7 linked regions of the Macaca fascicularis genome follow. The main gene of each other region encodes a partner of the protein of the gene in region 5 in a complex. Links are inferred from orthologs where the notes say so. Each region holds a gene or a part of one and is shown on either strand. Other genes may lie near its edges. The genes, in order: LSM7, LSM5, PRPF6, RBMX2, SNRNP40, EFTUD2 and BCAS2.

Region 1 (4,138 bases), on a different chromosome or scaffold from region 5:
CCGCCTTAGGTCACAACTTGGCACCTTGGGTTAGGGCTCTCTGACCCGGTGGTGACCTCTGCCATCTGATCCTGCTCCGCAGTGTCTGGTGACACTGAGAAGGATGAAGGGGGAGCTGTGTGTCCTCAGCAGAGGCCAGCCCACCCTCCCTGTCCGGGACTCCCGTCCTCTCCCCCCAGGCTCCTCCAGCCCAGGCCCAGGAGCGGTTCCGCCTCTGCGCTCACTGAGGGGCGTCCCTCAGCCACCCGCTCCCTACCCTCCTTCTTACCCCTGTCATCTTTCAGGTGCTTCCTCCAGACACCAACCCACACCCCTTAGGGTGCTGCCCTCTGCATGCCCCCCACCAATCTCAGGAAGCAGGCACCCCAGGCATTATTCTGCCCGCCTATCTTCTCCCAAGGCAGGGCTGTGAGCCTGTCCATGGCCGTTCTGCGCTGCGAACTACGACCAGAGGCGAAAGTGGCCCACCGCTCATCTCTGTATGCCAAAGTTTCACTGGCCCACCAGCACACTCGCCCGCTCAGGCACTGACCAGGGCGGCTCTCCTGCTCTGCGGGCATAGCTCACTGGTTGTGACAAGAGACCATCTGGGCTGCAAAGCTGAAGATATTTGCTGTCTGGCCTTCTACAGAGAAGGTCTGCCCACCTGCATACAGGCTTTAGCTCCTACCTCCACGGCTCCCTCTCTCTGCGCTCAAGTCCCTCCCCTGCAAAATGAAACCTGTCACCTATGAGATGGGGTCAGACGCAACGGTTCAGGTCCTTGGCACCAGCCTGACCAGTGAGCCAGCCCTCCTCACAGGGACAGATGTGAGCACTGAGGTAGGTAGGTCTCTAACCAAGGTTCCCCTCCCCGGGGTGTGGGCTCGGGCCTGTGACTCTGAGGGGACATGACGTCACTCCTGCACTTAGGTTATGCAGCTGTTTAAGCCCCTGAACCAGCTGACTTTGAGCCAATCTAGAGGGAAACACCCTGGGTGAGCCTGACCATATCAGGTGAGTCCTTCAGGGAGCAAACCCTTTCTCTGCTGTGTGTGTGCGTGTGTGTGATTTATTTATTTTTAGACGGAGTCTCGCTCTGTCTCCCAGACTGGAGTGCAGTGGCGCGATCTCAGCTCACTGCAACCTCTGCCTCCTGGGTTCAAGAGATTCTCCTGCCTCAGCCTCCTGAGTTGTTGGGATTACAGGTGTGCACCACCACGCCCAGCTAATTTTTTTGTATTTTTCGTAGAGATGGGGTTTCACGAAACCCCATGTTGGTCAGGCTGGTCTCGATCTCCTGATCATATGATCCGCCTGCCTCAGCCTCCCAAAGTGCTGGGGTTACAGGCGTGAGTCCCTGCGTCCCGCCAAGAGCTGCAGCATGCATCACCAGCCCACTGCCCATGCGAATGCTTCCTGCCCTCTGAGAGCTCGCCCTGTCTTCACTAGATTCCATGGAAGAGTTGCAGGCAGAGGCAAGCATCAGGTTAACATGCACGAAACCGCAAACGGTGACAGGTGCTACCAGGATCCTAGAACGATGGGGGGCCTGACGCCAGGGTCAGGGAGGGCTTCCCAGAGCAAGCACCTGTGGAACTTGTGCTTCTGCCGCCCTTTGCAGTCATAATCAGAAGTATGGATTCGGATTTTACTCCAAAACAACCGGGAGCCTCAGAGGTTTTCAGCAGGGAGCAAGAAGCCTCCATTTCTTTTTCATTAGGTGCCTCTGGCCGCTGAGTGGAGACTGACCTTAGTAGCTGTGATTCCCAATCACAGCTTGGGGGTCGGGGGGCGATCCTATCCCCAGAGAACACTAAGCAATGTCTGAGGCTATTTAGGTTGTCACAACTTGGTGGAGGCCAGGGATGCTGCTCAGCACCCTGCAGTGCCCCAGGACGGCCCCACTCCAGAGAATCCGGCCCCAAATGTGTCCACACTGCTGTGCGGGAAAGACCTTGACTTAGAGGGAGGAAGAGGAGAAGCCGGGAGATCTGTGGGGATCTGGGGCAGTCCTTGGACACACAGGACTGCTCTGGAGGCCAAGCCGGAAATCCCAATACCGGCTGCGCCACTGTGACTTTGGATTACGTTTGTTTCCCGCTCCTTGCCCCAGTTTCCCCGCCTGCAACATGGCCATACCAGTTCCTACCTCCCGGCGTAATTCGGAAGCCTGCACAAGGTAGTCGGCGTCAAGCGTGTAAAGAGGCGCCTCTGCGGCGGCTCACGCCTGTCATCCCAGCACTTTGGGAGGCCGAGACGGGCGAATCACTTGAGGTCAGAAGCTTGAGACCAGCCTGGCCAACATGGTGAAACCCCGTCTCTACTAGAAATACAAAAATTAGCCAGGAGTGGTGGCGCCTGTAGCCCCAGCCACGCAGGAGGCTGAGGCAGGAGAATCGCTTGAACCCGGGAGGCGGAGGTTGCAGTGAGCTGAGATCGCACCACTTGCACTCCAGACTGGGCGACGGAGCGAGACTGCGTCTCAAAATAAATACATAAATAAAAATAAATAAAAGAGGCGCCTCTGCATGCATCCTCATCACCTCTGTTGCTGACTTTATTTTAAAATTTTAAAGGGGGGGTGCCAACGGCGGGAGCCGCCTCACCTTCGCGTCCTCCCTGAAACTTCACCCGGATCGTCTTGTCGATGTACTTGGACAAGTCCAAGATGCTCTCCTTTTTCTTCTTCTCCTTATCCTGCGGGGAAAGCAGAGCGCATGAGGCCTGGAGCGCGGCCCGAGCCCCACGCCCCCCGGCTCCGGATTCTGCCGCGCGCTCACCGCCATCTTGTCGCGCCGTGAGGCTCTTCGCAGACACCGCCCCGTGCCCTGTGACCTCTCCCCTCCCCCCCACGCGCATGCGCGGCGCATGCGTGGCCCGGGGTCTCGGGGCGTTGCTGGGAAACATCTGCCGACGGTTGCGGCGGGCACCGGCCGAGATGGCGGCGGTGGCGGCGGCTGCGCTGGCGCGGCTTGTGGCGGCCTTTCTGCTCCTCGCGGCCCAGGTGAGCGCGGCACCGGTCCCGACGGCACCGCAGGCTGCGGCCCTTCGGCCTCTCGGCCCCGAGGCTACGCGCAGGAACGACCCCTCTTGGCCCGTCTTGGGGGTCCAGCCTCGGGGATCCGCGGTCCCCTCGTTGTCGGCCGGCGGTGCCGGGGCCCGGCCGTGACCTTGCGGGGCTGTCCCCGGCTTCTCTCCCTTCCCCGCCTCGGAGGCCCTCCGCCGCTGCAGCGCCCCTCACTTCCCACCGGGCCTGAAGTTTGTGCCCCCTCCATCTCCCTGTTCTGCTTGTCCGTTTCGGGGTCTCCAGCCGCCGCGGGGGACGCCTCTCTCCCGCTCTGTGGCCTTGGGCAGGCGGCCGCCCACCCCGCTCCGAGCCTCAGTTTCCCTTTAGGCGGAATGGCCCGGTGCTAAGCTAACCTCACCCTAGGGGGTGCGGTGGGGGAACCCAGAGGCGTCCCGCGTGTCCCCCAGTGACTGGCCAGCATCCTGGAGCGGCCAAGAGCCCAGCCCTGCACTGGGGTCGTATTCCCGCTCCATCTTTTACTCCGTGACCTTGGACGAGGGAATTCCCTGCTTTGAGCGTCAGTTGCTCGTCTGGAGAAGGGGGGTCGACTATGGTGTGGATTCTGGAGATGCTACCCAGGGTGACCAGCGCCTAGGGACAGCACGCCTTCCTTATATTCATTGTGTATCCTTTGATGTAGAGTGTCAGGTTCTAGCGGGGACAGTCTACGAGATGGCACTGTCGTAACTGCATCTTTTATTTTCTTAATTCCAAATCTTACCTCTTACCTGAGTTTGGTGGCTCAGGGAATGGAACCCGGAGCAGCCTCACAAATGCGGCCCTTAACCTTCACTCCTCTCTCAGAGTTCTCTTAAGGCGTCGCTGCCACTGGGCTCCTTCTTAGTCTCCACTCTTCCAGCCCCACCGCCATCCCCCTGCTGTGGCTGCCTTTGTCCCCCACATCCCTAGTCCATCCTCGACACAGCAGGAGTGACCCTTTCAAAGTATGTCAGTCCATGTCGCATCTGGATGAACGTGCCGTCCAGTTGTGACCTGGCGCCAGGGAAGCCTGCAGCTCATTGCAGGAGCTTCGTTGTCTAGTCTTTTCTCTTACCCTGAAATGCCCGTGGTCTCTGCAAGGCTGGAGGG
Region 2 (4,114 bases), on a different chromosome or scaffold from region 5:
GATGGGGTTTCAACCATGTTGCCCAGGCTGGTCTCCAACTTTTGGCCTCAAGTGATCTGCCCGCCTCGGCCTCCCAAAGTACTGGGATTACAGGCATGAGCCACCGTGCCTGGCCCTGTTTTTGCATACATCTTTTTTTTTTTTTTTTTTTTTTTGAGAGGAAGTCTCGCTCTTGTCCCCCAGGCTGGAGTGCAATGGCGCAATCTTGGCTCACTGCAACCTCCGCTTCCCAGGTTCAAGCAATTCTCCTGTCTCAGCCCTCTGAGTAGCTGGGATTACAGGTGCCTGCCACCACGCCCGGCTAATTTTTGTATTTTTTAGTAGAGATGGAGTTTTACCATGTTGGCCAGGCTGGTCTAGAACTCCTGACCTCAGGTGATCCACCTGCCTTGGTCTCCCAAAGTGCTGTGATTACAGGCGTGAGCCACCACGCCCGGCCCTTATAGATATCTTTAAAAGGTGTTCATTAGACAGTAATTTTAGCCATGTTAATTGTGGAAAATACCAAGACAGTTTATATCAAGAAAATGTTAATAGTTAACACATCACACAGTTGACATCTCAAAACAGTTAATATATTAAGAAAACAGTTAATATATTCTGCATACAGGGAGCAATATAGTTTTACAGTTTTCTGAGCCAATGCCAATAATTTTGTAATACAGAAATGTATAGCAACATCTTGAAAAATGTCTACAGTATTAGCATTAAAACAGTTCTACTGAATCACAGAAACTAAATTTGATTTAGGAAGCCTACTGTTTTTCTCCGCTATGCTTAGATTAGAACAGAGCTCCTTATTTTTCAAGACCAGAAGTGCAAAATATCATAGTTACTGTAGTAATCTCTAATTCTACTTGAAGCAGACTCCTATCCTTTAGGTTATTTGAAAACTGTCGTAGATAAGACTTGTTAAATCTGCTAGTGTTTCTAGAATGCACTTTAAATTGACATGATTCACTGCTTAAAAAAAAAAAATTGCAGTACAGTCAGTAATTAAAAAACCCTGGTGACAACAGAACCCATATATTTTGTATTGACCTTCCTTCCTCCCACTCCACCAAAGCAGAAGCTAAAAACCTACAACCTACACATATCAACCTGCTCCTCCGCTGCTCATAACCATTTTTCAGGCGCAGAAGGAAGGGGTTGTGGGGGCTGGGCTTCATGTGGGGCAGGTGGGAGGAGTTGCAAAGGAGTCAGGTTGAGAGGCTTGGACTCTGCTTTCAAGGTAATAGGCTCAGAGTACTAAACCCAAAAAGAGATGGAATGAAAATAATACTCTTTTAAAATCGCAGGACTAGAATAACCATTTTACAGGTATCCAAGTAAACTTCCTTTATTGTCAAGGATATTCGGTTTCAGGTTTTAAATGCGTCTCAGATTGCTACACATAATATTTAAATGAAGGGGAAAAAAGCTCTAGAAACAAACAAACAAGAATTCTCGGGTAAGCAAGTAATTTAAAGGCTGAATACACAGATACGCAACCTCACCAGTATGCTCCACGTTATTACATATTTGAGAATAAGGACGGAGGCCACAGAGGCAAAGGCAAGGAGGTGAAGGAATCGGACACTCGGAGAGTGAATCGAAAAGATGTGAAAAAGCAAGGAAAACAGAAAAGAAGAGGGAAGGGGGAAAACTTTAAGGAGGAAAATGAGAAGGCAAAAGAGAAGGAAGTGCTTTGAGATTGAATCCAGGGAGGAAAAAGCAGGTGTGCCACGCCGCACCTCCAGGTCCCGCGGACACTACAGGCTCCGCAGGCCCAGCCGCCCGGGTCACGTAAGCCCCACCCCGCTGCTCCACGTCAAGGCCCCCTCCGGTCCCCCCCCCGACCCCCCGAACCCCCGACCCCCCGCCCCCGTCCAGTCGATCGCTTTTTTCCTAGCCCCACCTAACTCCCCCAGGCTCCACCTCGGTCTCTCAGAACCCCCAGCCGTCAGGGCCCTCCCGGCCTTGCCCCGCCCCGCCTCGCCGGCAGCTGCCGCCGCGTCAGGTGACAGCCCGGAAGCTGCGGAAGCGGATGAGAGAAGGGCGGCCGCGGCCCTGGGGGCGGGAGCTGCTCTCCCTCCACAGATCTCCCGGTGCGGCCCTCATGTGCTGCGCTCGCTGACACCCGAAGTCCGCGGCTCTCCGCACACGGTGGGGTCGTCAGACCCGCTGCCCTTGGCAGTCGAAGTCGTAGTGTGGGCCCGCGGCGGCCGCCCATGGAGAAGGCCAGGAGAGGCGGGGATGGCGCCCCCCGGGGGCCCGTACTGCACATCGTGGTTGTTGGCTTTCACCATAAGAAGGGCTGCCAGGTGAGGAAAGGGCCCGCCCCCGCCCCCGGCCGTTCGGGCGTTCGCGCCTCCCGGCGCCCCCTGCCTTCCTTCTGTGTTCCCAGCTCGCGTCGTGCAGTCCTCCCCACCGCGCCCGCGACCCTTCGCCTCTCAACCTGACTCCTTTGCAACTCCTCCCACCCGCCCCACATGAAGCCCAGCCCCCACAACCCCTTCCTTTTGCACCTGAAAAATGGTTATGAGCGGCGGAGGCGCAGATTGGTATGTGTAGGTTGTAGGATTTTAGCTTCTGCTTTGGTGGAGTGGGAGGAAGGAATCGAAGACCGGCCCCACTCTCTTCCCCGTCCATTATTGTCTCCACTGGCTTTCTGGGTGTCCACCTATAATGGGAGTCTAGAAAAATTCAGTGCTTGGACTCTGCTTTCAAGGTAATAGGCTCAGTGGGCTTGCATACTAATACTTCAGGTAGCTTGCGCACCTGCAGCCTCTGTAGAAAAATCAGCTTCCTTTGTTTATCTGATGGAAGCCTTGGAATCTGTCGTGTTAAGTACGGTTGTCGATTAACCCTGCCTCCCCCTTCCCATTGGTCCTTAGTTTTGCTATTTCATCTTCTCCGGATTTTACCTTTTGGTGAGAGATTAATCTCTCCAGATCAACCGCAATAAGAGAAAGCGTATTACCGACCAAACCGTTCAAATATAAAGGTGTTTTTCAGCAGCCTCATTGAATCTTTAATCCATCATCTGAAATGGAATATTTGCGATCTGTATATTGAAGGCAAGAGAACAAAATAGAAACAGGATTATCTAATGAGCAAGCAAACACTGGAAGGGAATGATGTCATAATGTGCTAGTGAACAGTAAATTGAAATGCTTTTTTGAAGTATTAAAAATAGTAATGGCCACCACTAGCTCATGAAGCGTTTAGTTTCTTGCATTCCGCAGGAAATGTAACATTTTAGAAGACGTATTGGCAAAAATTAAGTTCTCTAGGGAATAACAGAAAAAGTGATGGGAGTGAAAAAACTGTGCGTAATTTTGAAATATATCCTCACACCTGTAATGGCAGCACTTTTAGAGACTGATATGAAAGGATCACTTGAGCTCAGGAGTTTGAGACCAGCCTGGGTAACAAAGGGAAACTGTCTCCACAAAAAATTTTAAAAATTAGCTGCATGTGATAGCGCACTTGTAGTCCCAGCTAGTCGGGAGGCTAAGTTGGGAAGATCTCTTGAGCCCAGGAGGCTGAGGCTACAGTGGCCCTTGATCCCACCACTGCACTCCTGCCTGGATGAGAGAGCAAGACCCTGTCTCAAAAGAAAATTTTGGCGCCGGGTGCGGTGGCTCAATTCTGTAATCCCAGCACTTTGGGAGGCCGAGGCGAGTGGATCACCTGAGGTCAGGAGTTCGAGACCAGCCTGGACAACATGGTGAAAGCCCCGCCTCTACTGAAAATACAAAATTAGTTGCACGTGGTGGCACATGCCTGTAATCCCAGCTACTTGGGAGGCTGAGACACGAGAATCGCTTGAACCCGGGAGGCAGAGGTTGCTGTGAGCCTTGCACTCCAGCCTGGGCAACAAGAGCGAAAAAAAAAAGTTTTGAAAATTGTGTATTACGTGCATAAGTCTTATAATGACTGGTCTAGAATCTGTTCTTTATAACCTGTACATCAGGTGTTTTTAGAGGCTTTAATTAAAGTATGTAAGATTTGCCCCAGGATAGATTAATCAGCTACCTAATTCTCCACGTTACTATTTTACTTCCAGGTGTAAAGGATTAGAGGTGCGTGGCTCATTGAGTTGTGACTCTGACTTCACGTGGTTTTAACT
Region 3 (3,500 bases), on a different chromosome or scaffold from region 5:
CCATGCTGGACTATCAGAGGCCAGGTTGGGGGTGTGCATGGCACCCCCCCAAACTGCTGGAGAAAGGATGGCGGGCACTGCTGCTGGGCACGCTGGCAGGCCTGGGACTCTGCGTTGCTGCCACCCTTCCCACCCTCTCCTCGGGGTCACCTCCCCCTAGAGCCAGAGGCACTGCAGTCAAGAGACGACACGAGGAACCCTCCACTCCAGGCAGCTGTTTGGGTTCGTCTCAGTTGCCAAACGGAATAATTTCACACTCTGATAACCTGATTGTTTTTTAAGCCTTGTGGTATTCTTAATTGCCCAGTGTTAGATAAACTGTGATTTAAGGAGCACAAACCCAGATAGCAGGCACACAAAACACTGGCTTGGGAATAGCAAGGAGTGACTTATTTACTTTAGCAAAGCCTTTTATAAGGTTTTATGGCTGCACTATCAGAGTGTCACCCAGAAGTCACTCTGGGAGGTGGACGCACAGGGGAGGACCAAGGGAGCACCAGGCAGACACAAGCCACCCTGTGGGGAGCCTCTCTCATCTGTCAGGGGCCCGCGGGCAGGGGAGAGGAGGTGCCCCTACAGGCAGGCCTACGGGGGCAGCACCCAGACCTCTGGAGACCAAGCACCACTGCCACCCAGTGCTGGGGAGAAGGGATGGAGAGAATCAAGAGCCAGCACTAGGAAGGCTGTTGTCTCTGCATGACCCATGGCAGGGCAGGTGAAGGGGAAGCCGGGCACGTAAGGTGAGGCCCCTCGCCGCTGGGGTCAGACACACCACCTCCGCCAGGTGAGCCCATGTCCTGAGCTGCAGCCTCAGGAGTCCAGGGTTCTTCTAAGAACTCCCTTCACCCCTACATGGTCACTTCCCAGCCTCCTGATGCACACTCAGGCCCAGCTCCTTCTCAGACTGTCATCCTCTTTCTAGAAGGAAACAGAGACCCTGTGGGTTGGGGATGGCCCCGAGCTCCCTGCTGTGCCCCGCACGTGGCAGGCCTTTGCCCACATGTGCCTAGAATCTGCACGCTCTGCCCCACGGCTCCAAGCAGCTGCCTGCGAGGTTTCAGAGTCATGTCCCCAGCGAGTCTCTGACCCAGCGGCCAGCACACCCGAGTGTGAATCACATGGTGTGAGGTCACTCACGGATCTCTGCCTCCCCTTCACACCACGTCTTCTGAGACAGCCTCCAGCAGTCATCGTGGCACCCCTGGGCACACAAATTAGGCTCCAGTCTCCAGCTCTGGATTATTTACGGGCCACAGAGCTGCAAGTGATTTCTTGCCCCAACATAAAGCCTCTTGTCCAAAGGGGCTTCGCTTACCACTTAAAATTCTGTGTGAACCAACATCAGCAAATCTATCCTGTAACCCAGGCCTGTGTAGGTGTAAACTAAAAAACTGCAGAGACGAAGAGAGCAGCCTCCTAGAAGAAGCCGGAACAGAGGAAGGGCTGAACCACACCCAGGGGATCCCTGGGGAGGGAGGGAAGGAGAGAGAAACAGAAAAAAGAGAGAGAGAGAGAGAGAGACTGGCTGTCCCTCCCCAGGGCTTTGGGACAGAAGCCCACAATGCTGCAGCACCCTCAGGTTTGTCTCTGCCGGGAGAGGCGCCTGCCCCGGACCACAGCAGGAGTGACAGCAGCCGAGGATCGGGGGAGCGCACCCTGCCGCCGGGCATCTTTACAATGACCAGGGAGAGGCAGACAGACTGGAAAAAGAGCCCATGAGGACCCCAAGGGTCAGCAATCCTGTGGGGACGCCTCACTCACTTGGCCACGGCCAGGAGCACATGAGGGTCATGCTCACACTTCTTCAGGGCATCCACGCTCTTGGTCCTCCTCTGGGGCCTCGCCTCGAGGAAGATGGCCTCAGACCACAGGATACCTGCAATTCAGAAACAAAGAACAAAGATCTGCACTCCAGCCTCTGGTTCCGGAAAGGTGCCCAGCCTACAGAGATTCTAACCCAGGACGTCCTCAGACGGTGACGGGGCCTCCCACACACTGCTTGCAGAACTTGTGCAAGAACCACGAAGGATGAGTGTTCTGGCCCACCCAAAACCATGGCAGCCCCAAGGGCACAGACAGGACACTCTGCAGAGTTTCACTCTGTCGTTCAGGCTGGAGTGCAATGGCGCGATCTTGGCTCACTGCAACCTCCCACTCCCAGGCTCAAGCAATTCTCCTGCCTCAGTCTCCCAAGTAGCTGGAATTACAGGCGTGCGCCACCATGCCCAGCTCATTTGTGTATCGTAGTAGAGACGGGGTTTCACCATGTTGGCCAGGCTGGTCTCAAACTCCTGACCTCAGGTGATCCACCCGCCTCGGCCTCCCAAAGTGCTGGGATGACAGGCGTGAGCCACCGCTCCTGACGGATTTGTTTGTTTTTTGAGACAGGGTTTCACTCCTGTGGTCCAGGCTGGAGGGCAGTGGTGGGATCTCGGCTCACTGCACCCTCTGTTTCCCAGGTTCAAGTGATTCTCGTGCCTCAGTCTCCCAAGTAGCTAGGATTACAGGCACGTGCCACTGTGCCTGGCTACTTTCTGTATTTTTTATAGAGACGGGGTTTCACTATGTTGCCCAGGCTGGTCTCAAGCGACGGACTCCTGGACTCAAGCGATCCTCCCGCCTCAGCCTCCCAAAATGCTGAGATTACAGGCGTGAGCCACCACACCTGGCCAATTTCTTTTAATTTTAAAAGAAAAAGAAATGATAACACTTCAGAACATGAAATCAAATTCTCCCATTTTGAGGCCAGGAATTTCATTAAAATGTCTTAATGGCCAAGTATAGCTGAAACTTTTGACTGAAATCATTCACACAAACAAAACATTTTAATAAAGTCTGTCGGAAGCCTGAGTCCCCACTCCCTGAGGAAGCGCCAGCCCTGTTGAGTCTGGGAAGCCAGAAAGCACCCCCTTACCAGAGTTAGGGCACTCCTGCAGCGCCTTGGCCATGAGCGTATTTGCGATGTTCTTCAGCCCTGCACGGTACTCCAGCCGCACGGACTCCAGCCTGAGGAGACAGGCCCCAGGAGGTCCCACAGCCATCTACCAATGGCGCATATTCTGGAAGCTTCTGGGAAGCCTTGTCTGAAAAGGCTCCCCACCCAGTCACAGCAGCAAGAACTCCATTCCCTGCACAGCACAGCTCACCCACCACAGAAGCAAGGCACTGCCGCCCACATCCCTGCCAGCCCCACTGGCAACCGCCCCAAGGGCAACACCTCAGAAACTGACGCTGTCCAGATGCAGGTGAAGGCATCCAGCACAAGCAAGACCAGCCTGGGAGAGCCAGGGCCGCACAAGGCCCCCAGGAGCTGCCTGTCTGCAGAGTGCAGTACTCCAGCCCCGTCACCCTGAGCTGGATGCAGCACCTCCATGAACAGAGCCTGCACCTCGCAGACTCCTACCCACCTCCAGGGCCCTCCACGCCACCTCCTCTGTGGAGTCAGCTCTCCGGGGTCCATCCTTCCCTCGTCCCAGCCATCGTCAACCCCTCCCTCTCCC
Region 4 (3,500 bases), on a different chromosome or scaffold from region 5:
GAGACGGGTGGATCACGAGGTCAGGAGATCGAGACCATCCTGGCTAACACGGTGAAACCCCATCTCTACTAAAAAAAAATACAAAAAAATTAGCCAGGTGTGGTGGCGGGTGCCTCTAGTCCCAGCTGCTCAGGAGGCTGAGGCAGGAGAATGGCGTGATCCCGGGAGGTGGAGCTTGCAGTGAGCTGAGATCGCGCCACTACACTCCAGTCTGGGCGACAGAGCAAGACTCTGTCTCAAAAAAAAAAAAAAATTCACATGCTAGGAGGTGAGGAATGTGCATAAAGAGAACAACCTTGGCAGCAACATGAAGGGGCCACTGTCTAGGCCTCCAAGGAGAGTGCCTCAAGAAGCCAACTTGGATGTCTGTCACCCTTGATATGTCAAGTTGCTGTACAAGGTAATTCCCATCCTGAGTTACCTCTTCAAAGACCTTATCTCCAAATGCAGTGGCATTCTGAGGCACTGGGGGTTAGGATTTCACCATATTAACTTGGGGAGAGAGACAATTCTGCCCATAGCACCAGCCTTCCACTGATACTCCCCACTTTCCCAGTTAAACTATGCTTCCCCATACCTTCCCCTTTCACACTTGAGTTGATTCTCAACTATCAATGAATGCAAGGAAGAGCAGACATTAAGGCCATCCAGAATCTTCTCTTAGGTCTTAATGCTTTACCTTTTTTGTGCTTTTTTGTTGGTTTTTCATCTTCAGAGCTCTCAGACAAACTTGGTGAGGGGGTACGAGCCCCACAGCCCTTCTCCTGGAGCTGTCTGGTCACATCATCCATTTCTTCCGAGTCCTTAGGAGCCCGATAGTTAGACACATGATCCACTCGGATAGTTCTTCCTTTGATCTAAGCAAGACAGGCAACGCTTCAGTGAAGACGGCCCTCATACCAAACTGCCAACTATTTGAACACAAGCTACAGAGAACCATGATTTGAACTATATCCTTTACCTTCTTGCTAAATTCTGTCACTAAAGCAGACCTGCCCAACTGGTGTGTCATAGCATGTACACCTAAATATTAATTTATACTAATATTTAGTTAATATAATTTTATTATTATAAAATATATAGTGCAGCCTCTCAGTGCAGCCAGGTGAGGCCTGGGGCAATTGTACCAGCAGCCTCATCACTTTACTCCAGGGCACCATGCAAATATCTTCATGTTCTGTATGTGCCATAAAATGAAAAAGACTAGGAAATACTACCTCAGAGCACAAGCATCAGGGAAGACTGAGATTTAGATGCATAATGAATTACCCTTGATCTGTAACCTAAGTTTACAGTGAAACATACCCTAGGAAGGTCTGGCAACTAGAAGGAATTCTTGAAATCTGGCTTAATGCTACAACTGCTTTCTCGACCCAGTAATTAGGAGGCAAAGTCAGACCAACAGTTTGGAGGGAGAAAGGAATCGAGAAAAAGGCACTTGCTTTTTTCTTCAGCCCTCACACCTTGCTCTAGCCCCACCATACTGGAACAATAGGCTCACACTGATTCTTGCACTACGAATCACAACTCTCCAGGTGAACAACAACAAAAAATTAACCCCTCTGGTCGGACGCAGTGGCTCACACCTGTAATCCCAGCACTCTGGGAGGTCGAGACGGGTGGATCACTTGAGGTCAGGAGTACGAGACCAGCCTGGCCAATATGGCAAAAATTTGCCGGGTGTGGTGGTGCACACCTATAATCCCAGCTACTCAGGAGGCTGAGACAGGAGAATCACTGGAACCCAGGTGACAGAGGTTGCAGTGATCCAAGGCCACGCCACTGCACTCCAACCAGGACAACAGAGTGAGACCCTGTCCCCCTCCCCCCGCCCCCCAAAAAATTAACACCTCACTTAAAATAAAAACATTCTATTTTTAGGCAGATACAGACTTACTCTCTAGGCAAAGCCATTCAAAATTTAAAGTTTGGCTTTTATTGTTCCAATACAAGAGCAGATTTTTATTTTTACCTTGAAGCCTGAGCGGCTTCTGTTATGTATCCTCTTCTCCATTTTGAAACACTTTGGAAAACCTTCCTTTTACAATGACGCCCTCTGACTGCTGGCTTCCTTAAACATCAAGCCTAGAACCTTGTTCCACTCTGTTCTATAATCTCCAGCTATCCCATACTCGTGAATCAGTGACAAACTCTCCAACTCAAGCCTCCCCACACCAACTCTGTGACACTGTTCATTTCAACTGCAGCTTTTTTCCTAAATGAGTGCAGCAACCACATGGAGCATCAATACGCCTGACTTGCCCTATCTCCTTCTAAGAACTCAGTGCCTCACTTACGACAGTGGAAATAAGAGGGATCTGGGGGGAGAAAATTTCAGGATGAAATTACTTTTGTAGAATCTGTCATCGGATTTTAACTAGAGAATTTCTAGAGCCCAATATGCTAGGTCACTGGAGATACATGACAGGCATACATGGGTATGTCCTAGATTATGAGGCCATGTTGAAGCCCAAAACTCCCAACACAGGACAATATGGAAGAGCAATGTTTGCTAGTCTCTTCATCCTCCAGTGCACCAGAAATGATAGTAGACAGTAAAAAAAGAAAGGTGAAAAACAGAGGCCTGGATGAGAGGCAGGCCTGGTGCCTATGCTCCTGGGGAGATGGTTTGTTTACAGATGGGGAAAAGAAGCAAGTACTGCAGGGCCACGAGCCAACAGAATTATTTCCTGGAATCTCTTCTTGACCAGCGTCTCCACATCTCTGCAGCCCCCGCAACAAACCAAGCTGACAAGTGCTGCCCTTGTGTCTGTGGGAATCAGGTAGAAAAAGAAACACCTATACATGGGAAAAAAGTCCAACCAATCTGCTTAATAAGCACACTCACCTTGATCCCATTAAAATTGTCCACGGCCAGAATTGTGCTCCTCTGGTCTTCATAGCAGAGGAAACAGAACCCTTTGGATTTCCCAGTTTTCTTGTCCCGCACGAGATTAATGTTAACAATCTCGCCATATCTATTTATTTTATAAAAGAGTAAGACATTATTGACTTAAAAGGCAAAAACATGCAGATAAGGTAATAAAACAAAATTCAAATAACATAGTGTGTACAAGAGATACATCTAGAACAGGATGACACAGAAAGGTTGCAAAGAAAAAGTCAGACAAGTACAGGAACACCCAATTAAAAGTGGGTGGCAATATCCAGAGCAAAAACTAATTCAAGGCCAAAATAAAAATATCACATGAGACTAAGATTATTTTACACTGAAAAAGGCCTAAATACACAATAAAGGTATACATCAGGAAAACTCTGAGTCAATTAAGAAATCAAACATTTTAATTAAAAAAAGCTATTAGAAATGCAAAGAGAAACTAAGAGAGAAAGTTATGGGAGAATGTAACACATCACTTTGAAGTTTATCACGCATAAAGTGGACAGAAATAAAATAAAATCAGATGAATTAATACACATAATTATACTAACAAATATTAATGTAGGACTATTAGATACATAGATATCTTTGAATACTACAA
Region 5 (3,500 bases):
GCTGGGATTACAGGTGTGAGCTGTCACACCTGGCCTGTTTAGTGAATTTTTGAACTAATTTTGTAAAGTTTGTATTCTTTGTCCTGTGTTACCACTGAATTCTTTTTTTTTGTTAGCTTAGTGGTCAGCTAGTGAATGACAGAAGTTTCCTAAATTACCTACAACAACAAGAACAAAAGCTCTCCCAGTCTTTGCAGATTGTCTTTTGGTATGTTGGAGCCTGCCTTCAACTCCTTGCTGTGCAGTTTACATCTCTCCTTAGCTTTCACTTCCTGCTTGTGCAGAGCCTGAAGGTCAACCAGAGAGCTTATGGCCTTCTCAGATCTTTTCTAAGTATGTGCCCAGCCCTGGACATGCAAGTGGTCTAGATTGCCAGGGATGGGCCAGGCATGGTGGCTCATGCCTGTAATCTTAGCACTTTGGGAGGGCGAGGCAGACAGATCACTTGAGGCCAGGAGTGTGAGACCAGCCTGGTCAACATGGCGAAACCCTGTCTCTACTAAAAATACAAAAATTAGCTGGGTATAGTGGCACGCGCCTATAATCCCACCTACTCGGGAGGCTGAGACAGGAGAATTGCTTGAGCCTGTGAGGTGGAGGTTGCAGTGAGCCGAGATCGCACCACTGCACTCCGGCCTGGGTGACAGAGGGAGACTCTGTAGGTAGGTAGGTAGGTAGGTAGATAGATAGATAGATAGGTAGGTAGGTAGGTAGGTAGGTAGGTAGGTAGGTAGGTAGGTAGATAGATAGATAGATAGATAGATAGATAGATAGATAGATAGATAGATAAGATAAGATAGATAGATAAGATAGATAGCCAGGAATATGTCAGTGCTTTTCAAAACTCTTACTCCCCAAATTGTCTCCTTCCCCAGCCCTTCCTCCCAAGGTTTTTGGTTTGTATTTTTGCCCCAACTGTTTTTCCTTGCCCCCAGGCACCAGAGGCTAATAATATCCTTTCCTTTAAATGTTTTCTTTTTTTTTTTTTTTTTTTTTTTTTTTTTTTGAGACGGAGTCTTGCTCTGTCACCCAGGCTGGAGTGCTGTGGCCGGATCTCAGCTCACTGCAAGCTCCGCCTCCCGGGTTCCCGCCATTCTCCTGCCTCAGCCTCCCGAGTAGCTGGGACTACAGGCGCCCGCCACCTCGCCCGGCTAGTTTTTTTTTTTTTTTTTTTTTTTTGTATTTTTTAGTAGAGATGGGGTTTCACCGTGTTAGTCAGGATGGTCTCGATCTCCTGACCTCGTGATCCGCCCGTCTCGGCCTCCCAAAGTGCTGGGATTACAGGCTTGAGCCACCGCGCCCGGCCTAAATGTTTTCAAGGAAAGTTCCAAGTTAGACAAAATAAATGTAAGTCCTGGCCGGGCGCGGTGGCTCACGCCTGTAATCCCAGCACTTTGGGAGGCCGAGACAGGCGGATCACGAGGTCTGGAGATCGAGACCATCTTGGCTAACACGGTGAAACCCCGTCTCTACTAAAAGTACAAAAAACCAGCCGGGCGAGGTGGCGGGTGCCTGTAGTCCCAGCTACTCGGGAGGCTGAGGCAGGAGAATGGCGTAAACCCAGGAGGCGGAGCTTGTAGTGAGCCGAGTTGGCGCCACTGCACTCCAGCCTGGGCGACAGAGCAAAGACTCCGTCTCAAAAAAATAAATAAATAAATAAATAAATGTAAGTCCTTTGAGCTTATCCTTCAGGGAGCCACCAGACAAGTAAAAATAAACAATTTTTATTGTTTATTCTTTGACAATAAGAAATAGGCCCCCCTTTGCTTCCTCAGTACTAGGAAACCATACTGGGAATATGGGTTATCTTCAAAGCTGTTGCTGAGCGGGAGACAGAGCCAGCACAAGTTAAAACACTACAAAACCCTTTTACTGGGACTCAGGGGTTTTTTTGTTTCCTTTTTCCTCATTAAGGGTTTGCCTGGTTACTATAAACTTTTGATTAGTTATGAGAGTTCCGACAGTTGATTCTGACAGGTTTTTGCTGGTTCATTTGTTGTTTTGTGGAAGGACAAGCTTTTGTCATTGTTTATTATACTATTTTCACTGACGTACCCGCTCTCTATTTTTTTAAATGTGGGTTGCAGCCCACTAATGAATTAGTATCTACAGTTTGAAAAAATTGTCTGATATCCTTGTTGTCCTAAAAAATATATGAACCAAGTAATTAGTGGAATTCCATTCTAAGAGTATGTTGATTTAACTCTGTTTATTCACTTTAACAAAGAAGTCTGAAAATATAACTGAAGTTTTGTTTCACCAGCCTTCAAATGTCTTAGCAAAATTGAGGACACTGCTTACCATGTGTGTTATTAGGATATCCAGGAGTTAGTGAAATGGGATCCCAATTATAGATGTGTTCATGTTCACAAAGTCCTTGTACTTAGGGATATTTGTACTGTGCAGTTACTTCTTAGAATGATATTAATGATAGACCCTGTTGTCCTTTGCTTCAGCTTTGGGACATCCGGAAGAAAGCAGCCATCCAGACATTTCAGAACACGTACCAGGTGTTAGCTGTGACCTTCAATGACACAAGTGATCAGATTATTTCTGGTGGAATAGACAATGATATCAAGGTATGTTTGATGTTTATGATATATTTCCATTTCACCCATCTGCACTTAGAAACAAATTTTTTCAAACTTCTGAAATTGTGGTAGCTTTGCACTTAATACCAACTGAAAGGAAAATAGTAATTTGGAACTTATTTTCTTTTTCTCCTGTCTTCATTGACTTCCTAAATTAAAGGTTGCACTGCAGATCTTATAAATGCTGTCAGGGACCAGGCACTTAATGTGAAGTGTGAAGTCTCTGTAGGGGGACTATGTAAAAAATAAAGAGTGCATTTCCTTTTAAAGACATTCAGAATCTTTTTTTAACCATCTTAGTTTAATGGGAGCAGTGAATCAGTTTGTGATTCTGTATCCTCATCTCTCACTGTGTTTTTCTTTTTGACACTATGGAAAGGGAGTTTTCTAAGTTTCTCTAAGAATGAGAGAAGGTAATGATATTAAAGAGGCAATAGACCATATGGCAGTACAGTGTAGCTCAAACTTTCAAGTAATTGACTTGAGTTCTAATCCCAGTTTCACCATTTTCTAGTTTTGTGACTTCAACACCTTCTTTAAGCCTCTTTTTCTTGTGTGAATGCTGAGGGGGTAGTGATAACAAAAACTACCACATGGCATCTACCACATACCATTGTAGCGATTAAATGAGCCTGATTAGAGCACTTAGCAGAATTCCTGGACATAACAAGTGCCAGGAAATGTGTTATTTTGGTCCTGCACGGCTTCTGTCTTCCTTTCCTATTGGCTTCCTTGGGGATCTTAACGACTTTGACCTTACCTTCTGCTTTATAGTGAGAATAGTAACTGTCAGATAAATACTCAACTTTCTGTGTTGTCCTTTCCTAGAAGTTGTACTGTATTTCCATCCCTCGTTGTTTCCTTTGCTGTTACTTTGGATGAAATATCCTTGCTTTTGGCCAGGTGCGG
Region 6 (3,500 bases), on a different chromosome or scaffold from region 5:
TGGGATTAGTTTCTAGTAGACAGAAGCATGAACAAATAATTCATAAGAATGGAAGGGAAGGCATCGTATATGAGTACAGGTGTAGGCAGGTGGGTAGAGGGACTGCTGGGTGCTTGTTTTCCTTCACACAAATTACAGCATGCCAACCTCTTCCTTAAGAACACAAAACCCTCCAGTGGTAAGACTGGCTACCTCCTACCATCTTACACTCTACTTCTACTAAAGTGGCCTAAGATTACATTAGCTCTTTTGGCAGCCACATATATCTTACTGGTGGTGGCTCCAAAATAGCTATCAAGCCAGTTTTCTACTGCCCCATACTGCTGAATATATTATGAATCTAACTGCAGGATTTTATATAATCATTTCTGACTGCCTGTAATTACCTCTACCGAGTCTACAGTAGCTCAACAAGTCTAAAATAAAACTAAACCAGTATAAACCAGTATTCTTTTATCATTGTTTTTTAAAATTTTTAATTTTTTTAATTTTTTTGAGATGGAGTTTCACTGCAATCTCTACCTCCTGGGTTCAAGAGATTCTCCTGCCTTAGGCTCCGGAGTAGCTGGGGCTACAGGTGTATGCCACCATGCCCAGCTAATTTTTGTGTGTTTTTTTTTTTTTTTTTTTTTTTGAGACGGAGTCTCGCTCTGTCTCCCAGGCTGGACTGCAGTGGCCGGATCTCAGCTCACTGCAAGCTCCGCCTCCTGGGTTCACGCCATTCTCCTGCCTCAGCCTCCCGAGTAGCTGGGACTACAGGCGCCCGCCACCTCGCTCGGCTGGTTTTTTGTATTTTTTAGTAGAGACGGGGTTTCACCGTGTTAGCCAGGATGGTCTCGATCTCTTGACCTCGTGATCCACCCGTCTCGGCCTCCCAAAGTGCTGGGATTACAGGCTTGAGCCACCGCACCCGGCCAATTTTTGTATTTTTAATAGAGATTGGGTTTCATCATGTTGGCCAGACTGGTCTCAAACTCTTGACCTCAGGTCATCCGCCCACCTCAGCCTCCCAAAGTGCTGGGATTACAGACATGAGCCAATGAGCCCAGTCTTAGAATGGACATCTTTCTTTTCTGTCTCCATTACCAAAATCTATGCATCTCTGTTATATACCTCAATATAATTAAAAAAAAATAAATCTGTCCAGGCGCGGTGGCTCACACCTGTAATCCCAACACTTTGGGAGGCCAAGGCATGTGGATTGCTTGAAGTCAGGAGTTCAAGACCAGCCTGGACAACATAGTGAAACCCCGTCTCTACTAAAAATACAAAAAACATTAGCCAGGCATGGTGGCACACACCTGTAATCCCAGCTACTTAGGAGGCGGAGGCATGAGAATCGCTTGGATCTGGGAGGCAGAGGCTGCAGTGAGCCAAGATGGTGCCACTGTGCTCCTGCCTGGGCAACAGGGTGAGGCTGTCTCAAAAAAAAAAAAAGAGAGAGAGAAAAGAAAAGAGGGGGCTGGGCATGGTGGCTCATGCCTGTAATCCCAGCACTTTGGGAGGCCAAGGCGGGTGGATTCTTGAGCTCAGGAGTTCGAGACCAGCCTGGGCAACATTTTGTCTCTATGAAAAATAAAAAAAATTAGCTGGGCATGGTGATGCATGCCTGTAGTCCCAGTTATTTGGGAGGCCAAGATGGGAGAATCACTTAAGCCCAGGAGGTGGAGGTTGCAGTGAGCTGAGATTGCGCCACTGCACTCAAGCCTGGCAACAGAGTGAGACCTTGTCTTAAATAAAAATAAGTAAGAGCGAGATGAAAAGAGCAATATATTTGCTTTACCTCATCAAGATCTTTGGTCTCTCTACCCAATTCATCGTCATCTTCATCAGAATCAAGCTCTGGTCCAATATAATTCCCAAACTCATCATATAAGTCGGTGTCCATGATGCTAAAATTCAAGGAAAGGAGTTAGATTCTGGCAAAGTAATCATGGCCTCCATGTGGTGGCCCCACCTACCTAGTCTTATAGTTGGCCATACCCCTTTCAGAACATGCCTCCTCCCAGTGACATCAATCTACTGAAGGCTCCTCCCAAAGACCAGTACTTTACCCAAGTCTCTGCCCTACTTGTCTCTATTTATGTAGTCTTCCCTCCACTTTTTTTTTTTTGTTTGTTTCAAGCAGAGTTTAATAGGCAAGAAGGAAAGAAGACAGAAGGAAGAAGCTCCCCACTACAGAGATGGGGCGGGGTGCTCCAAAGCCAAAAGAGGAGGTCCCCTTCCTCCACTTCTTTAATACCAAATTTAATTTTAAAATAACTCAATGTCAAAAAGTGGCAAGAATAGTACAAACAACTTACTTTTTCCTAAATTATTTGAAAGTGAGCTGTTGACACAGTGGCTCATCACCTCCTAATACTTTAGTGTAAGGGTGTGCAAACTCTGGCCTGTGGCCAAATCTGGCCTCTCCAGCTGTTTCTGCATGGCCCTCTAGCTAAGAATGCTTTTCAACATTTTTAAATTGTCAAAAGAAAAATATTTCACAATACATGAAAATTAATTATAAGGAATTCAAATGTCTGTGTCTACTTAAAAAATTTCATTGGGAGGCCTGGCGCAGTGGCTCACACCTGTAATCCCAGCACTTTGGGAGGCCAAGGCGGGCAGATCACCTGAGGTCAGGAGTTCGAGACCAGCCTGGTCAACATGGCAAAACCCTGTCTCTACTAAAAATACAAAAATTAGCTAGGTATGGTGGCATATGCCTGTAATCCCAGCTACTCAGGAGGCTGATGTAGGAGAATCCCTTGAACCCAGGGGGTGGACGTTGCAGTGAGCTGAGGTGGCACCACTGCACTCCAGCCTGGGAGACAAAACGAGACTCCATCTCAAAAAAAAAAAAAAAAAAAAAAAGGTTCACTGGAAAACAGCCATGCATATTCATTTACATCATCTACAGTTGCCTTTACACTGTAATAGCAGAGTTGAGTAGTTGGGACTGAAACCATATGGCTCACAAAGCCTAAAATACTATCCAGTCCTTAACAGAAAAAGTTTGCCAACCTCTCCCTCACCTTGTGTGATTCCTACAAACAGGAACATTCTTCTACATAACCACAACACAACCATCAAAATCAGAAAATTAATATTCACACATTACTACCACCTAATTTACAGATCCCATTCAGGTTTCACAGATTGTTCCAATACGTTTCACAGATTGTTCCAATGATATCTTACACGCCCAAGGATCCAATCCAGGATCATGTTTGCATTTGGTTGTCATGTCTTTGGTCTCTTTGGATTTACAATCTTCAGTCTTTCCTTCCAAGGACTGTCGTGACATCCTTAAGGATGTCCCTTGATTTGAGGTTGTCTGATGTTACCTTATGATAATATTCAGGTTATGTGTTTTAGGCAGGAATATCATAGAAGTGATGCTGTGAGAACATGTGAGAACTGTGGTTCTCAAAGCATTTCCTATCAGGTGATACATGATTTCAATTTGCCTCATTGGTGGTAACGTTAACTTTGATCACTTCATTAAGGTGATGTTT
Region 7 (2,504 bases), about 84 Mb from region 5:
AATGGTTCAATTTAGCAAAGGATCCTTCACCAATGGTTCAATTCTCGTTTATAGTTCTCTTTAACACCTTATAGAAAGGCAGAGACAGTGAAGGGTGAATTCAGAAAACAGCATTTTCTTTGACACCTATGGCATCCCACATGAATGCTATTTGAATCATATTATTGAATCGACCTTAGACTGGGCTAAACAATTTAAAAGATGATGGAATTATAGATACTCACTTTGACTCCATTTCTCTCAATTTAGATCCAGCTGTGAGCTGCATGTTCTTTCTCTGCCAGTTTAAATCTTGAATATGTTTTCTGTAAAAAATTATACAACCTAATGACATTTTAATGTAAGACCAAAAATCAACAGAAAACTCTGTAACACAAGAGAATATCTTAATCCCATGGGAACAATATCATGTACAGTTATAGGCTAACTGTAGAAACTACCGTTCTTCTAATTATTTTTTGATTACAAGTTTCATAAAACATGCTCATTGTGAGAAATCACACACACACACACACACACACACGAGCACACACAGATTACAAGTCTCAAGTCCCTCTTCCCATGCATGTCTCCTTTTTCCTGATAACTCCTGTTGAGTTTTTGCTGGGTGTCCTTCCAGGCTTTCCTATATGTGTGTGTAGAAATCGGTCTTTTTTTTTTTTTTTTTTTTTTTTTGAGACGGAGTCTGGCTCTGTCACCCAGGCTGGAGTGCAGTGGCGCGATCTCGGCTCACTGCAAGCTCCGCCTCCCGGGTTTACGCCGTTCTCCTGCCTCAGCCTCCCGAGTAGCTGGGACTACAGGCGCTCGTCATCTCGCCCGGCTAGTTTTTTGTATTTTTTAGTAGAGACGGGGTTTCACCGTGTTAGCCAGGATGGTCTCGATCTCCTGACCTCGTGTTCCACCCGTCTCGGCCTCCCAAAGTGCTGGGATTACAGGCTTGAGCCACCGCGCCCGGCCGAAATCGGTCTTAAAAATCAGATTATATGTGTTATTCTCCAACTTTCTCCCCCTCTAAAAGTGTCTTTCCATGTTTGCAGACTTGCAAGCTACAAGTGGCAGAGATGTTTTCAGACCTCAGGCCTACTACTCGTCTACTTAGGTAGGGCAAACCCTGTGCCAGATGTTGAACAAAGAGAGTGGATCAATTGTTTACTTTCACCTGGCTGCAGTCTCATTGCTTTCTTTTTCCTCCTATTTTCTATTCATTAAAGGTTCACTTAAAGTTCATTCTGTAATAGGAAAAAACAATTTACCTTAATTTCTGAAGTTCTTTCTGTGCGTGTTCAATCATATGAACTAGATTTCTGAAGGAAAAGAGGAAAATCAGATTTAAATACATTAAAATAGTACCAATTAAAAGTGAACTTTTTCAAGTTTTTTTGCTAAAAATCGTATTTCTGGAGCTCTGTGCCAAGAACTATGTTGGACACTCCATAATCAAGTACTATCACCCATGCTGGAATGCAGTGGTGTGATCATGGCTCACTGCAGCCTTCACCTCCCAAGATCAAGTAATCCTCCTGCCTCAGCCTCCCGAGGAGCCGCAATCCTCCCACCTTGGCTTCCCAAACTGCTGGAATTACCATGCCCTGCCTGATACTTTGAGTACTTAGGTTGCTTTTCTTATGAGACAGTCTCATTCTGTTGCCCAGGCTGGAGTGAAGTAGTGTGATCTCAGCTCACTGCAGCCTCTGCCTCCTGGTTCAAGCAATTCTCCTGCCTCAGCGTCCCAAGTAGCTGGGATTACAGGCGTGCACTGCCATGCCTTGCTAATTTTTGTATTTTTTTTTTTTTTTTTTTAGCAGAGATGGGGTTTCACTACGTTGGCCAGGCTGGTCTTGAACTCCTGACCACAAGCAATCCATCCACCTCGGTCTCCCAAAGTGCTGGGATTACAGGCGTGAGCCACTGCACCTGGCTTTTTTTTTTTTGGACAGAGTCTTGCTCTACTGTTGCCCAAGCTGGAGTGTAGCTGCATAATCATGGCAGCCTCAACCTCCTGGGCTCAATCGATCCTCCCACTTCAGGCCTTCAAAGTAGTTCGGATTACAGGCATAAGCCACCATGCCCGGCTAATTTTTGTTATTTTTTTGTAGAGACAGGGTTTCACCGTGTTGTCTGGGCTGGTCTTGAACTCCTGGGCTCAAGCAGTCTCCCTACCTTGGCCTTCAAAGTGTTGGAATTACATGCGTGAGACATCACACACAGTCTTTTGTCACTTCTTAAACTGTCATGACTTCTTGTCACAGAGAAGATGGAATATATCTGATTATATCCACTTATTATTTCTCAACCCCCTTTTATCTCTGTATTTCTTCATATACATTTATCCTGTCATTCTCTCCTCCTGTCCACTGCTAACTAGAGAGAGGTGAGAAAAAGAAAACTGTTGTAGATTTGAGATATCAGTCCATATTTGCATGTAACCTATTCGCAGCAAAATAAAAAACAGATACCAGTCCAGGTCAGCTGTAACTAGCACAGGAGAAAAGTTCAATAATACA

Evidence for each region.
Region 1: SNRNP40 (region 5) and LSM7 share a complex: the UniProt entries of both Homo sapiens proteins name them as parts of the U4/U6-U5 tri-snRNP complex. The link is inferred for Macaca fascicularis from reciprocal best matches to the Homo sapiens genes SNRNP40 and LSM7.
Region 2: SNRNP40 (region 5) and LSM5 share a complex: the UniProt entries of both Homo sapiens proteins name them as parts of the U4/U6-U5 tri-snRNP complex. The link is inferred for Macaca fascicularis from reciprocal best matches to the Homo sapiens genes SNRNP40 and LSM5.
Region 3: SNRNP40 (region 5) and PRPF6 share a complex: the UniProt entries of both Homo sapiens proteins name them as parts of the U4/U6-U5 tri-snRNP complex. The link is inferred for Macaca fascicularis from reciprocal best matches to the Homo sapiens genes SNRNP40 and PRPF6.
Region 4: SNRNP40 (region 5) and RBMX2 share a complex: the UniProt entries of both Homo sapiens proteins name them as parts of the minor spliceosome. The link is inferred for Macaca fascicularis from reciprocal best matches to the Homo sapiens genes SNRNP40 and RBMX2.
Region 6: SNRNP40 (region 5) and EFTUD2 share a complex: the UniProt entries of both Homo sapiens proteins name them as parts of the minor spliceosome. The link is inferred for Macaca fascicularis from reciprocal best matches to the Homo sapiens genes SNRNP40 and EFTUD2.
Region 7: SNRNP40 (region 5) and BCAS2 share a complex: the UniProt entries of both Homo sapiens proteins name them as parts of the postcatalytic spliceosome P complex. The link is inferred for Macaca fascicularis from reciprocal best matches to the Homo sapiens genes SNRNP40 and BCAS2.

What each region holds. Positions count from the first base shown.
Region 1 is NC_088393.1:2,988,140-2,992,277, forward strand, and holds the start of LSM7 (U6 snRNA-associated Sm-like protein LSm7), read right to left. Parts: upstream 2,801-4,138; 5' UTR 2,769-2,800; coding exon 2,763-2,768; intron 2,680-2,762; coding exon 2,589-2,679; intron 1-2,588. Other genes in the region: SPPL2B (signal peptide peptidase-like 2B), read left to right, coding at 2,921-2,986. UniProt on the Homo sapiens protein: Plays a role in pre-mRNA splicing as component of the U4/U6-U5 tri-snRNP complex that is involved in spliceosome assembly, and as component of the precatalytic spliceosome (spliceosome B complex).
Region 2 is NC_088377.1:97,812,501-97,816,614, reverse strand, and holds the start of LSM5 (U6 snRNA-associated Sm-like protein LSm5), read right to left. Parts: upstream 2,801-4,114; 5' UTR 2,632-2,800; coding exon 2,508-2,631; exon of another isoform or gene 2,499-2,507; intron 2,304-2,498; coding exon of another isoform or gene 2,211-2,303; exon of another isoform or gene 2,029-2,210; intron 2,005-2,028; exon of another isoform or gene 1,898-2,004; intron 1-1,897. Other genes in the region: late secretory pathway protein AVL9 homolog, read left to right, coding at 2,211-2,303. UniProt on the Homo sapiens protein: Plays a role in pre-mRNA splicing as component of the U4/U6-U5 tri-snRNP complex that is involved in spliceosome assembly, and as component of the precatalytic spliceosome (spliceosome B complex).
Region 3 is NC_088384.1:120,167,027-120,170,526, reverse strand, and holds part of PRPF6 (pre-mRNA-processing factor 6), read right to left. Parts: intron 3,007-3,500; coding exon 2,915-3,006; intron 1,877-2,914; coding exon 1,762-1,876; intron 1-1,761. UniProt on the Homo sapiens protein: Involved in pre-mRNA splicing as component of the U4/U6-U5 tri-snRNP complex, one of the building blocks of the spliceosome.
Region 4 is NC_088395.1:136,684,462-136,687,961, reverse strand, and holds part of RBMX2 (RNA-binding motif protein, X-linked 2), read right to left. Parts: intron 2,979-3,500; coding exon 2,849-2,978; intron 858-2,848; coding exon 680-857; intron 1-679. UniProt on the Homo sapiens protein: Involved in pre-mRNA splicing as component of the activated spliceosome. As a component of the minor spliceosome, involved in the splicing of U12-type introns in pre-mRNAs.
Region 5 is NC_088375.1:203,728,177-203,731,676, forward strand, and holds part of SNRNP40 (U5 small nuclear ribonucleoprotein 40 kDa protein), read left to right. Parts: intron 1-2,456; coding exon 2,457-2,579; intron 2,580-3,500. UniProt on the Homo sapiens protein: Required for pre-mRNA splicing as component of the activated spliceosome. Component of the U5 small nuclear ribonucleoprotein (snRNP) complex and the U4/U6-U5 tri-snRNP complex, building blocks of the spliceosome.
Region 6 is NC_088390.1:65,948,244-65,951,743, forward strand, and holds part of EFTUD2 (116 kDa U5 small nuclear ribonucleoprotein component), read right to left. Parts: intron 1,893-3,500; 5' UTR 1,889-1,892; coding exon 1,784-1,888; intron 1-1,783. UniProt on the Homo sapiens protein: Required for pre-mRNA splicing as component of the spliceosome, including pre-catalytic, catalytic and post-catalytic spliceosomal complexes. Component of the U5 snRNP and the U4/U6-U5 tri-snRNP complex, a building block of the spliceosome.
Region 7 is NC_088375.1:119,799,384-119,801,887, reverse strand, and holds part of BCAS2 (pre-mRNA-splicing factor SPF27), read right to left. Parts: intron 1,305-2,504; coding exon 1,254-1,304; intron 306-1,253; coding exon 225-305; intron 1-224. UniProt on the Homo sapiens protein: Required for pre-mRNA splicing as component of the activated spliceosome. Component of the PRP19-CDC5L complex that forms an integral part of the spliceosome and is required for activating pre-mRNA splicing.